Saccharomyces cerevisiae S288C: one gene and its partner. The protein of the gene in region 2 binds, or shares a complex with, the protein of the main gene of each other region. Each region holds a gene or a part of one and is shown on either strand. Other genes may lie near its edges. A codon is read from its position in the direction of its gene.

Region 1 (5,551 bases), on a different chromosome or scaffold from region 2:
AAGTTCTCTGCCAGTGACAGAACACACCACAAACAAGGCTCATTTGTCAGGGATGTTGAATTTTCACCTGACAGCGGTGAATTTGTTATTACGGTAGGGTCTGACAGAAAGATTTCTTGCTTTGATGGCAAATCAGGTGAGTTTCTTAAATACATAGAGGATGATCAAGAACCAGTTCAAGGTGGTATATTTGCACTATCGTGGCTTGATTCCCAAAAGTTTGCTACCGTAGGAGCAGACGCTACCATTAGGGTTTGGGACGTCACGACTTCAAAATGCGTTCAAAAATGGACCTTAGACAAGCAACAACTGGGAAATCAACAAGTTGGTGTTGTTGCAACAGGAAACGGAAGGATTATTTCTCTTTCACTGGATGGGACCTTAAACTTCTATGAACTTGGACATGACGAGGTTTTAAAAACCATTAGTGGTCATAACAAGGGTATTACTGCTTTGACAGTCAACCCACTAATCAGTGGGTCATATGATGGTAGGATTATGGAATGGTCTAGCTCTTCCATGCACCAAGATCACTCCAACTTGATTGTATCATTGGATAATAGTAAAGCGCAAGAATACTCCAGTATTTCTTGGGATGATACTTTGAAAGTGAACGGTATTACTAAGCATGAATTTGGATCGCAACCAAAGGTTGCTAGTGCGAACAATGATGGCTTCACTGCAGTACTAACAAATGATGATGATTTGTTGATATTACAGTCTTTTACGGGCGATATAATCAAGAGTGTAAGACTGAACTCACCAGGCTCTGCCGTTAGCTTGAGCCAAAATTACGTTGCAGTTGGTTTGGAAGAAGGTAATACTATTCAGGTATTCAAATTATCAGATTTGGAAGTCAGTTTTGATTTAAAAACACCTCTTCGCGCAAAACCCTCGTACATATCAATTTCGCCATCTGAAACATACATCGCTGCTGGAGATGTTATGGGCAAGATATTGCTATATGATTTACAATCAAGAGAAGTGAAAACTTCAAGATGGGCTTTCCACACCAGTAAAATCAACGCCATTTCATGGAAACCTGCTGAAAAGGGAGCAAACGAAGAGGAAATTGAAGAGGACTTAGTTGCCACTGGTTCTTTAGACACCAATATTTTTATTTACTCCGTCAAAAGACCTATGAAAATCATTAAGGCGTTGAATGCTCACAAGGACGGTGTTAACAACCTTTTATGGGAAACACCATCTACCTTGGTTAGTTCTGGTGCGGACGCTTGCATTAAAAGGTGGAATGTTGTCCTCGAGTGAGATAAGAATATAAAGTAAACAATTACGTAACCTTAGAAAAATAGATATAAAAAAGTTTTACACTGTTTTTACCACAGTCCATATAAACTTGTAATTATTACCCGAATGCTTTGATTACTTCGCTCTTTTAAAAAAAAACCCGTTCGAACTATTAAACATGTTACTGTGAGCAGACAAAAATATTGCAAGAAAACAGCTTTATAAAGTTTAAGCATTACTGAATACAGTACATTTACTTTTGAAGAAGGAAATACCATCTAGCAGAAATGTCAGATTCAGAGGGAGGTCTAGCTTCCGAAGTTGAACATGAGAAGCGGTCAAGATCTACTAGCAACAGACCCAATTATGCAATTGATACTGAGGATTTAGATATTGATGAAAATGATGAGAATGAAGATGATGATTACAGAGAAGAAGAAGCCAATGAGGGAGTGAATGAAGAAGAAATAAGTGATGAGGAGGAACAGATAAATAAAAGCGGAAGAAACAAAAGGAGGCACGTGGACGAAGAAGAGGATTTGTCAGAGGATAAAGGCGTTACTAGATCTAGAAACCGTTCAAAGTTCAAAAAACCAGTATTTCCCGGAATCGATGATGCTGAGGAGAACTTAAATCCTTTGAAAGTGGTCAATGAAGAATATGTTCTACCAGATGATCCTGAAGGTGAGACGAAGATAACTGCAGATGGTGATCTATTAGGAGGCAGAGAATTTTTAGTGCGCACCTTCACATTAACTGAGAAGGGGAATCGAAAGTTTATGCTGGCCACCGAACCGGCTAGGATAGTGGGTTTTAGAGATTCATATTTATTTTTTCAAACTCACCCCAACCTTTATAAGTTCATTCTGAATCAAACTCAAAAGAACGACTTGATAGACCGTGGCGTTTTACCTTATTCATATAGAAATAGACAAATCGCTCTAGTCACCGCTAGAGGCGTGTTTAAAGAATTTGGTGCTAAAATCATTCGTGGCGGCAAACATATAACCGATGATTATTATGCTTCTGAATTAAGAACAAAGGGAAATGTAATTGAAGGAAAACTTGCTGGTGATCCTATTGATAAATCCGCAAGGGCCTTAGAAACCATGATGTATCCTGCTTCCGAGAATGGCATAAACCCTGCAAAAAACCAGGTGGAATTCTTTGAACACAGGCCACATGGTCACATGAGTAATTCTAATATTATTGCATCAGGTAGTAAGCTGAGCTCTACAAATTGGCTCTATCAGCATTCTGCTGCGTGTAGTAGATTTAATAGCGATTTGTTTTATGATAGAGTGAAGGTTCTTCTTGTAGATCAACAAGGCTTGAGAGATGCATACACAAATATATTACACATACCAGAATCCACACAGTCAACCACTGTTTTAGGATGGAGGAGATCAAAAAACGATAGTCCCAGCGACACAAGCATTGTGTATGAGACCGTTATACACGATAACGATTTGAATAAACCGAAAACGGGACTGTCGGAAATCCCGAAAGAGATCTATGAAGACGTTGTTGATGAAGACGTTTTAAGGGCTATCACCGAACAACAAAATTTCGAAAAATGCAACGAATATATTTAGTATACTCAATGTAACAATATAACAAATTTTTATCTTCAAATCAAGGTAAAAAAATTCATATATTCTCACTTTCTTTTTCTTTTCTTGACTATTCATCTACATATGCATTTCACGCGTAAATAGGTTGATCTACAAACTTTGAATGAATTTTTCCATTGGCTCGTTGCCATTTACCAACGAAATGGTTTTTTTCACTGTTGCATTTGGATGTAGCAAGCTTTCCACAATAAAAGAAGCTACATCCTCCCTGTTAATGGAGTAGTTAACAGAAGCCTTCTCTTCTAATTTGTCAAGGGGTTGCAAAAGACCGGTACCTTTATTTAGTTCCAACGATCCAGGCTGTAAAATAGTGTAATCCAAATTAGAGTTTCTAACCTCACGATCAGCAGATCTCTTTGCAATATAGTATTCACGCAAACCCTTAATGTTATACCAAAAATCTCTATCCTCCGCCTTGAGCGCTGAAACAACAACGAACCTTTTGATACCAGCCTTTTCGCATGCTTCAACAACTTTGATACAGCCATCCAGATCAACCGTGAAAATTCTTTCCATTCCTTTACCACCCGCACCGGCGCTAAAGACCACGGCATCATAAGCCTTAATAGCGTCTGTGATCTCACTAACGGACGCGTTTTCTATATCTGTCAAACTAGCATCAACACCTACTTCATTCTTGAAATAATTGACTTGATCCTGTGTTCTAACAATCGCTAATGGTGTTGAGAAACTATCGTTGGCCTTCAATTGGTTTATCAATAAACGTCCAACTTTACCACTGGCACCGACAACCGCAACTTTCATAGGAGACATGGCTGTTAAGTCAATAATATATGAATACCGATGATATAACTTCAATGAATTTTTATTTGGAGGGAAAGTATCCTATTATGAGCGTCACGATGGGACTTTAAATATATATCCCTACTTCGAGTGTACCCTTACGTAATACTTGCAGCCCCTTGCTGTTGACAGCGCGATACAATTTTCGTACTAAACAATCACAGAGGTAACAGCAAAGTTTGGAAAGTACTTTTGTTGGAAAGTTATTACGGCCACTAACATTGTCTCGTCGTATTATTAAAAGCTATAACGTCGTATTTCTTTGCTCGCTTGTGTTTTGTGATACAGGAAACACACACCAACAGGTTCACCGAGGGCTGTTGTCTGTCTTTGTACTTTAACTCAAAGAACTTCTGTTTCACGATTTGTATTAATAGTTCTTGCAGGCTACTAGGCTGAATACGTTAAAATGGTTAGCAACGAATATAACCAGAAATACTTCGGGTACAATTCTGATACGTATATTTGTAGATATGTCTCGCTTGATGTTGCCAACTTTGTCAAAAATGGTAACGTATGGGCACACGGAATGTGCTAATCCTCGACTTTGCTCTTTCGTAAACCAATTTGATGCAAGTGCAGCGTGGTCTTTTGAAAGTGCATTATCTCATTGGGCGATGCGAAAACTCTGCCTACAGAAGTTCGCCGTTAGATAATTCTGATTGTAGAAAACCTACCAAAGAGAATAAACTAAAGTGTCATCTGCTAATTTATGATCTTATCGTCTGAGTGATGATGTATGTTTCTCTTTGTACGGTTCGTCTTGTGCTCATGTACGTAACATCCTCCATATGTGTGAATTATTTTGTCCGGCGTCTTGTTTGAATATCCCATCCGGACGTATTTCTTTATAGGATAACGCATGCACATATCGGTTCGTTCAATAAGAAAGTCCCTTCTGGTATTATTCGGTGTCCTGTAAGATCTATATACTAATCACCAAGCTATCTGGTGTCACATTGTGAATACATTTGTCTTTTGGTCCATTTTTCCCCATCATTTTCTCGTGAAAACGATCTCTAACTTTTGCCACTATAGTTTTAAAGGAAAGATTTTGAGCTGCCAACGAATACAATATAGCACACTCAAGAGTCTTGGCAAGCAACTTTAAAGTTAGAAAGAGTACTAATGTTGCTACTTTCTTGGTCAAGAATTGCTACTAAGGTAGTTAGAAGGCCCGTTCGCTTCCGGTCCTATTACGGCTTGACCCATATCAAGAGTTTACATACTCAATATCGGCTACTCAATAGGCTGCAAGAGAATAAGAGCGGTAACAAGAACGAGGACAATAACGAAGACGCTAAACTTAACAAAGAAATTCCCACAGACGAAGAGGTTGAAGCAATAAGAAAACAAGTAGAAAAATATATCGAACAAACTAAAAATAATACTATACCGGCTAACTGGAAAGAACAGAAACGCAAAATTGATGAAAGTATTAGGCGTTTAGAAGATGCTGTATTGAAACAAGAATCTAACAGAATTCAAGAAGAAAGAAAGGAAAAAGAGGAGGAAAATGGTCCTTCAAAAGCCAAGTCAAACAGAACAAAAGAGCAGGGCTACTTTGAAGGTAACAATAGCAGAAATATTCCACCGCCACCACCACCTCCTCCCCCAAAACCACCTCTAAATGATCCTAGTAATCCTGTATCGAAAAATGTTAACTTATTCCAGATAGGACTAACTTTTTTCCTCCTTTCGTTTTTATTGGATCTCCTCAACAGTTTGGAAGAGCAAAGTGAGATAACGTGGCAGGATTTTAGAGAGAAACTATTGGCAAAAGGTTATGTTGCGAAGTTGATTGTTGTCAACAAGTCCATGGTGAAAGTGATGTTAAATGACAACGGAAAAAACCAAGCCGACAA
Region 2 (8,213 bases):
CTCTCTGATCGATGACCTGAACGAGCAGAAACTCAAGCAGCAGCTGAATATCGAGAAGACAAAATACTTCCAAGGAAAAAATGGCGGATCGCTGCACTCCAATACAGACTTTCAGGACACATCGCAGAATATCGAAGACAACAATAACGATAACGATAACGATATCGATGAAGATGACGACATGTCATCTTACAACGACAAAGCAGCCTCGGTAGCGCACACCAGAGTCCTCAATTCCTTGCATCTGTCCACCGACAGCAATACCGCCCACGAGACGTCCAATGCAAACGACAACCACAACCCCTTCTACATCCGCGAGGAATAATAGCATATCCGCATACGCACACGCACACGCACACGCGCACGCATCCACATTCACTTTCACTTATAAAATTTCTTCTCTCTAGTTTTATATACGTTGTATTAGAAATATAAAATATGACAATAGTACACTTTGTAGGCTCTCTTTTTTTTTTTTTTTTTTTTTCTTATATATTTTTTTACAATGACCACGGTTTGTACACCTGGGGCTGCAATTTTGCAATGGAGTCGCCTTCGCCTACTTCCTCGCCTTCCTTGCCTACACGTTTCACGCCATGTCCTGTGGCCGTATTGCCGTCTTCGTCATCGCCCTCCTGGTCCTTCTCCACTAGTTGTATGCCCGAGTCTACTTGCTCCGAGATCAGTACCAGTTTCTTCGACACATTCAACTCCTCCAGCGACTTGTTCAGGTCAAGAATCTGTTTACTCAGTGATAATCGGTCGTTCAGCATCTTTTCAGATTCCTTCACATATTTCAGTTTTTCCATCTCCAGTTGCGTTTCTAGATCGCACAGCTTTGTAAACTTGCTCTCTAATTTCTCCATGGTCAGCTTGACTAACTCTTGGATTATCGCTTGGCTTTCTTCAATGTACTTTTCGGAGATCTCTCTCGACTTATCAGAGACCTTACCCAATTTGTCGTCGCCTTGCAGTAGCGTCTGGACAGCATCATTCACGCATTCCATCAACTTCGAACCGGACACACTACCATCGCGGCTGTCGCCACCCTTACCATTCAGCGTTGAACCAACAACTTCTCGGATGTAGTTGTCCTCGATCGGTAAGCTTAGGAATTTTTCAATGCAGTCTTCTACACGCTTGTGCCCACCCACGTGGTCAGCAATCTTCTCCCACTGGTCTTCATACATTTCAATACCCTCCAGCAATAGTAGCATCTCCTGGTCTGACCAGTTTTTTTTAACCGAGTTTCCGTTGTTTTCTAATCTGATGAAATCTGAAGATTGAAAGTTGGCACCGAAATGACCCTCTTGGAAACAACGGGAGCACAGGTTGGTGTCCCGTGCACGCAAATTGTGGTAGCGCACATTGATTGACTCGTTACCGCATGTATGGCAAATGTAAACTTTGTGAATCTGCCTGGAGTTTCTACTTTCGTCTTGTAATGCATTGAAGTCTTGTGCAGAATCGTAAACGTTCTTCTTGATTGTGAGATTAACGGGAAATTCCTTCTTGACTTGTGGTTCCGCTCCATCTCCTCCTTCCACTTCTTGCTTGATCACATTCTCTGGTAAAAATGGCTTTAACCCCTGCGGAGTGTCCAGAACCACTTGGAAGTGGCCCGTAAAACTTGGCCCAATAAGACTGGGCTTGGTCCTGGGGTCAATCTGATAATTGATTAAGCCCCATTTTTCCAAGAACGCGTGAATCTTCACTATCGAGGCAACATCCATGGCAACATTTCTTCTCACAGCGGTAATGGTCAAATATTCGTACGGCGAAAGACGGTACGTGTTGATGATAAAATTTCTTGTGTCCTTATATGCCTTTGGTGTCTTGAACCTTGATGAATCGTTGAAAAAGTCGGGATTGGATCTTTTTTCGATCTCGTGGATCTTCGAAATATCAAACCAAGAGGCAAACGACGGAATAATCACCGGGTGAGTTTGCTTTGCCAGGAACCTAAGGGCCTTCTCCTCCAGTTTCTGTGCTTCTTGCTCGTAATTGATTTTCTTATGAGCTACTTCTGCTCCCAATGTGGCAGATTCCTCCTTCGCCTGTTCCTGTGCTAAGTGAGGGAAAGATGGCGTGTTGGTGCTTGTGGTGGGTGGCTCCTCGGTCGCTTCGTGCGAGTCTACCATAGGGACATCCTTATCCTTTTCAGTGTCGCTCATTATCCTGGCCTTCTATCTACTCTTTGCTTCTCTGCTCTACCCTTCTCTCTATAAACCTCACGAACTAATTCAATGTTGATGAAACTTATTTTTTCCAACTTTTTTACATCAAGCGGGTGACAAAGAGAACGCCGTAATTAAATTATCATAGAAAAGAGTAACGGATTAAGGAAGTATCAAATTTGGCGATGAGATGAGCAGATGCTCAAACGCGGCGCTGATGACTGTTGTTGAGGATGCTGTTGGGGCCAGGGTGGCTGCAAGGACGAGAAACATGAGCAATGGCGTCAATTACCGGGAGAAGGAAGTCAATGACCTAACGGCTGACATTTCAGATTCAGATTCAGATTTGGATTCAGAGGACAATAAACATGGCAAAGGCGACAATGACACTGCCCCCATATGGTTACAAGATGATGTGCATTCAGACGAAGATATTCAGCTGGACTCAGAGGACGATTCCGATACAGAAGCTGTTCAAGCCCAAGTGGTGGATAAATTGGCAAAAGACACGAAATCAGAGCAAAAATCCTTGGATGATGAGCTCTCCGAGATGGATACCAAGACGGTTTCTTTAAAACTTAAGAAACTAAACGAGTTTGTGAGGCAGAGTCAGGTATATTCCAGTATAATCGCCGATACTTTACTACATCGATCTAATGAAGTGGCTAACGCTAATACAAAAGATAACAGCAACTCTGATGATGAAGAACATTCTTCAAAAAAACGTAAAACAAAAAAAAAATCAATAACAGATTTCTTCAAAAAACAGAAAAAGAACGAAGATACAACCACCCAAAACGGCGCACCAGACGATGCAGCAATAAAGCAACCTCGCCTATTGAAAAACTGTATTTTAAAACCTTACCAACTAGAAGGTCTTAACTGGCTGATCACTCTTTATGAAAATGGCCTGAACGGAATTCTTGCCGATGAAATGGGTCTTGGTAAGACTGTTCAAAGTATTGCTCTTTTGGCGTTCATATATGAAATGGACACAAAGGGTCCTTTTCTAGTGACTGCACCATTAAGCACCCTAGATAATTGGATGAACGAATTTGCAAAATTCGCTCCTGATCTACCAGTTCTAAAATATTATGGGACCAATGGTTATAAGGAACGTTCTGCCAAGTTGAAAAATTTCTTTAAACAACACGGCGGCACGGGGATCGTCATCACATCATATGAAATTATTTTAAGAGATACCGACTTAATCATGAGTCAAAATTGGAAATTTTTAATTGTTGATGAAGGCCACCGTCTGAAAAATATAAACTGTAGATTGATTAAAGAGTTAAAAAAAATCAATACTTCCAATAGACTGCTACTAACAGGGACGCCTTTACAAAATAACCTAGCTGAATTATGGTCACTTTTGAATTTCATAATGCCCGATATCTTTGCCGATTTCGAGATATTCAATAAATGGTTTGACTTCGACAGCTTAAATTTAGGCTCCGGTTCCAACTCTGAAGCATTGAATAAGTTAATCAACGATGAACTACAGAAAAATTTGATTTCCAATTTACACACAATTCTGAAACCATTCCTTTTGAGAAGATTGAAAAAAGTTGTTTTGGCTAATATTCTGCCGCCAAAGAGAGAATATATCATAAATTGTCCGATGACGTCTGCACAGGAAAAATTCTATAAGGCTGGATTGAATGGAAAGTTGAAAAAAACCATGTTCAAAGAATTAATCAAGGATTTTTTCACATTGAACGATGAATACATCGGCCACGTTTCTAATCGGTCCATACGAGATTTCATCAATTATAAACTATCTGGTAATGAAACTTCAAATACAGACAATAAAATCAATCCAACCTTGTTGCAAATGGACAAACTATATAAGAAGAACCTGCAAATGGAAATTTCAAATAAGAAATTGCAAAATATGATGATGCAATTGAGACAAATCATTGACTCAACTTTTTTGTTTTATTTCCCATATTTACACCCAGAAGACTTGACTTTGGAAACTCTTTTAAAGACGTCTGGGAAATTACAAATCTTACAAAAATTAATCCCCCCATTAATATCTGAGGGGCACAAAGTGCTTATTTATTCTCAGTTTGTTAACATGCTCGATTTGATCGAAGATTGGTGTGATTTAAATTCGTTCGCGACATTTCGAATTGATGGTTCAGTAAACAATGAAACAAGAAAGGATCAACTCGAGAAGTTTAATAGCTCGAAAGATAAGCATAACATTTTCCTATTGTCCACAAGGGCGGCAGGACTGGGTATTAATCTAGTCGGGGCAGATACAGTTGTCTTGTTTGATAGTGATTGGAATCCACAGGTGGATTTACAAGCCATGGACAGGTGTCACCGTATTGGCCAAGAATCACCGGTTATAGTATATAGGTTGTGTTGTGATAACACCATTGAACATGTTATATTGACCAGAGCGGCCAATAAGCGAAATTTGGAAAGAATGGTTATCCAGATGGGAAAATTCAATAACCTGAAAAAATTGGCGTTAAATGAAGGTTCTTTTTTGAAGGCAAACAAAGCGGGTGTTAATGTCACTAATAAGGACTTAGTCCAGGAGTTATCTATGCTTTTAATGAGCGATGAATCCAATATAGGCTTTGAAAATGGGGGACAGAAAGAAAATAAGGCTACTGAGGGCCAACTGACTGATAAGGAGGTTGAAGAATTGACCAACAGATCTCTTGAAGCGTACAAGGCCAACAGAGTCGTAGATCTGCCGCACGTCAAGCTATTTGAAACAACCTCCGGTCTTTAACTTGGTTATCATACAATATTGTTTTTATTAAATGTTTGTATATATGTACATATACATACCTATATATTGATCAATGTTCTTGCCGTACAAATTCTTCCTCTAGTTGTTCCTTTAGTTCACGGTTTTTGAATAAAGTATCCGCAGTATTCATTCGTTGCAGAAAGGTATCTTGAATATTATTTTTTGTGTTCTGGAAATCAGCTTTTAGTTTAGTAATCCATTCCAGTATCAAAGTCATATCCAGATCATGTTTTACCAGACGGTTCCTCTCAGAAATAACTTTCTTTTTCAATTCCATGAAACGGAGCCAGTTGGAATGATTCTCTTCTATATAGGCAGGATCGTATTGATCTTCCAAATGGAGACCTCTGACGTCCATATATGCCATTCTTTGCGACCATTGACTTATCATTACATCGCCCCACTCTTCGTACACTTCGACGTTTTCAAGACGAATCGATTCTGCCAGTTTAGCCATTTCGGTAAGAAAAGAATCTAATGAATGAAACAGTGATTTTTCAAAGTCTAACAAATGTATTTTATAATTCTTCAGTATCGATGTGATAGATGATTTGGTAATGTAAGCTTCCAGTTCAACTTGACCCGATTCATCAAAATACTTTATTTTATTTTGCACAGGATCGAATTTAGAGGTACAATTAATATCTTTGATTTTTGAATCTAGAAACACTAATTGCTCATTAACGGTAGTGTTAAGGTCATCAAGATTCCTAGTGATTTCTATAGATTTATTTTGCACCTCGGCCTCGAACACAGACTGTATCTCTGAATCCAAAAGTGCCATCGCACTGTGTATTTTCGAATCTATAGCCTTAATCCATGCTTCATATTCCATTTTTAATGATTCTGCCTCGTAAGTTTCCAATTCTGCATGGCTATTGGAACCAATGATAATCTTTGACAAATCCTGCAAAATAGCAGCAGTGACGAGTTGTGAGTTCCCGTGGCCATCCTGTACTCCATCGAACTCGTATTCTTTATTTTCATCCTCAATTCCGACATCATCCTCATCCTCATCTTCATCCTCATCCTCATTTTCATTCTCATCATCCTCATAATCCTCTGTTTCCGAGTCTGTCTCAAAAATGGGTTTGGTGAGCGTGCCATCAGCGCTAAAGGAGCCGTATTTCATCCAATCCGTAGAGGAGTTAAATGGATTCTCTAGTACATTCTTCACATTGTCTGTATATGGCTTTAAATAGTACCAGGCAATCCTTAGATGATTTAATAAAGGTCCCAACTTGGAATGTAGCGAACAGCAGAGCTCATTTAGCCTTAGAAAAGAGAAAATATTGTACCAAAAGCGGTAAAAATATCCCATAATTCTCTTCAAGGATGAGTTGGGGTATCTTTCAATCAGTGGTTTTATCGATTGTGAGTACTTTCCAACTAAATAGTCAGAAACCGCTGAACCTTCAACCAATTTAGAATCGAATAGTGAGCCAACTGAAAATTCAGTATGCCGGCAAATGGGCTGTAAATCTGTGGCAAAGCTTCCCAGACCATTTTGCTGACAGACCAGATACCTTGCAATAAACACGCAAGCCAGCAAAGCAGTCGTTACTTTGAAAACGGCCTTCATGATTTTTAGTAAAGAACTAACCACCTTTTTCTTAGTTAAGAAAAGGTCAATCAGTAACAGAAATATGATAGTAGCAACACCCAAAAAAATGCTATCTTCCAATAGTCAAAAAGGAAGCCTCGATGCCATACAAGTCTCTTCTAAAGTACTATTATGTAATTCCTGTTAAATGATACCTGTATTGTGGCTTAAAAGGGCCGAAATGACAACAAAATGAGTAGGGTTAATTTAATTTTTAAAGAGGGCATTTATCTAAAAAATGAAAGACAACTATAGGGCTGGTAATTATAGAATAGGTCTTAGTAGGGTTATCCCTTCCTCTAGAAAAAAAGAAAGAAAAATAATTTTAAGTGGCCAATTAGAACCAAAACCAACAGTATCGTGGTATCATACGCTCCAAAGCAACTAGAAGAAAGGCCTTATTTGACCATTGGATTCAGTATTTTTTCTCCAAGTAGCGGTTAAAAGACTGAGAGACTAAAGCTAGATAGTGGGTTTGAGTGACTATCCCCTTTTTTCCTCCTCTTTTTTTATTATTTTGATTTTATTTCATTTTGATTTTATTTCAACACGATTAAGACACAAGCGTTACTTCCCTAGACTATAGTCTCTGCCGTTCCCATTCTATTGATTTTTGGAGCAGCAGTTTTTACAAAAGAAAAGAAAAAAAAGACGAAAACAACAAGCCAGAGTAAAGATGTCGTTTTGGCCATTTGGACAGAATCTTAATCACTCTAATATTAATAAGATCCTAGATGAATATTTTCATGTGCTACACGAACTGGAAAGGATTAACCCAAGCGTTGGTAAAGCCATTCCCGCTATTTTCAACAACGTTCAGGAACGAGGTACAAGTGACTCCCTAGATTCTATTCCGGAGGAGTATAGTCATGGTGATGAAGTGAAAACGGCACGTGGAGATCAGAAGAGTCGATTTGAGAAGGATGATCAGCAAGAACGGTATGAGAAAGAGGAAGAGGAACGGAGCATGAACTCTAGCGAATCTTCCACTACATCTTTTTCTTCTGGGTCAACTTCTAAAACTGATTTAGATGAGGAGGATATCAGCAATGCTACTGCTCCCATGATGGTCACCACAAAGAATTTGGATAACTCTTTTATTGAAAGAATGCTTGTAGAGACAGAGCTACTGAACGAATTATCGAGACAAAACAAGACGCTACTTGACTTCATTTGCTTTGGATTTTTCTTTGATAAGAAAACTAATAAGAAAGTGAATAATATGGAATATCTGGTCGACCAACTGATGGAATGTATCTCGAAGATTAAAACCGCCACCACAGTGGATTTGAATAACCTGATAGATTATCAAGAACAGCAACAGCTTGATGATAGCTCACAAGAGGACGTTTATGTGGAATCTGATACGGAGCAAGAAGAGGAGAAAGAGGACGATAATAACAGCAATAACAAGAAGAGACGAAAACGCGGAAGCTCCTCGTTTGGTAACGATGATATCAACAACAATGACGACGACGACGATGCGAATGAGGACGATGAATCTGCTTATTTGACAAAGGCCACCATAATATCTGAAATCTTTTCCTTAGACATATGGTTGATTAGCGAGTCATTAGTTAAAAACCAATCATACTTAAACAAGATTTGGTCTATCATCAACCAGCCAAATTTCAATTCTGAAAACTCTCCCTTGGTACCC

What was found. The genes of interacting proteins can lie anywhere in the genome.
Region 1: the proteins of RSC8 (region 2) and NPL6 are in contact, whole or in part, in a cryo-EM structure (PDB 6V8O), measured with the Saccharomyces cerevisiae proteins. Residues at the interface, in NP_116695.3 of Saccharomyces cerevisiae: Ala69 (codon at 1,970), Arg71 (codon at 1,964), Phe72 (codon at 1,961), Leu73 (codon at 1,958), Ser92 (codon at 1,901), Phe124 (codon at 1,805), Thr128 (codon at 1,793), Leu131 (codon at 1,784), Ser132 (codon at 1,781), Leu137 (codon at 1,766), Ala141 (codon at 1,754), Arg144 (codon at 1,745), Asn145 (codon at 1,742), Pro181 (codon at 1,634), Ser182 (codon at 1,631), Phe183 (codon at 1,628), Thr184 (codon at 1,625), Gly185 (codon at 1,622), His186 (codon at 1,619), Phe187 (codon at 1,616), Gln188 (codon at 1,613), Val189 (codon at 1,610), Val190 (codon at 1,607), Leu191 (codon at 1,604), Asp192 (codon at 1,601), Thr193 (codon at 1,598), Pro194 (codon at 1,595), Gln195 (codon at 1,592), Gly196 (codon at 1,589), Leu197 (codon at 1,586); in NP_013809.1 of Saccharomyces cerevisiae: Leu343 (codon at 2,562), Gln347 (codon at 2,574), Asp351 (codon at 2,586), Tyr353 (codon at 2,592), Thr354 (codon at 2,595), Ile356 (codon at 2,601), His358 (codon at 2,607), Ile359 (codon at 2,610), Ser362 (codon at 2,619), Thr363 (codon at 2,622), Gln364 (codon at 2,625), Ser365 (codon at 2,628), Thr366 (codon at 2,631), Thr367 (codon at 2,634), Val368 (codon at 2,637), Leu369 (codon at 2,640), Gly370 (codon at 2,643), Trp371 (codon at 2,646), Arg372 (codon at 2,649), Arg373 (codon at 2,652), Ser374 (codon at 2,655), Lys375 (codon at 2,658), Asn376 (codon at 2,661), Thr382 (codon at 2,679), Ser383 (codon at 2,682), Ile384 (codon at 2,685), Val385 (codon at 2,688), Tyr386 (codon at 2,691), Glu387 (codon at 2,694), Thr388 (codon at 2,697).

The regions. Positions count from the first base shown.
Region 1 is NC_001145.3:447,350-452,900, reverse strand, and holds NPL6 (Npl6p), read left to right. Parts: upstream 1-1,535; coding exon 1,536-2,843; downstream 2,844-5,551. Other genes in the region: AIP1 (Aip1p), read left to right, coding at 1-1,269; YMR090W (uncharacterized protein), read right to left, coding at 2,973-3,656; m-AAA protease subunit YTA12, read left to right, coding at 4,815-5,551. UniProt on the Saccharomyces cerevisiae protein: Component of the chromatin structure remodeling complex (RSC), which is involved in transcription regulation and nucleosome positioning. RSC is responsible for the transfer of a histone octamer from a nucleosome core particle to naked DNA.
Region 2 is NC_001138.5:227,013-235,225, forward strand, and holds RSC8 (Rsc8p), read right to left. Parts: upstream 2,175-8,213; coding exon 501-2,174; downstream 1-500. Other genes in the region: anaphase promoting complex subunit CDC26, read left to right, coding at 1-325; IRC5 (putative ATPase), read left to right, coding at 2,368-4,929; OSW7 (Osw7p), read right to left, coding at 5,000-6,532; SAP155 (Sap155p), read left to right, coding at 7,230-8,213.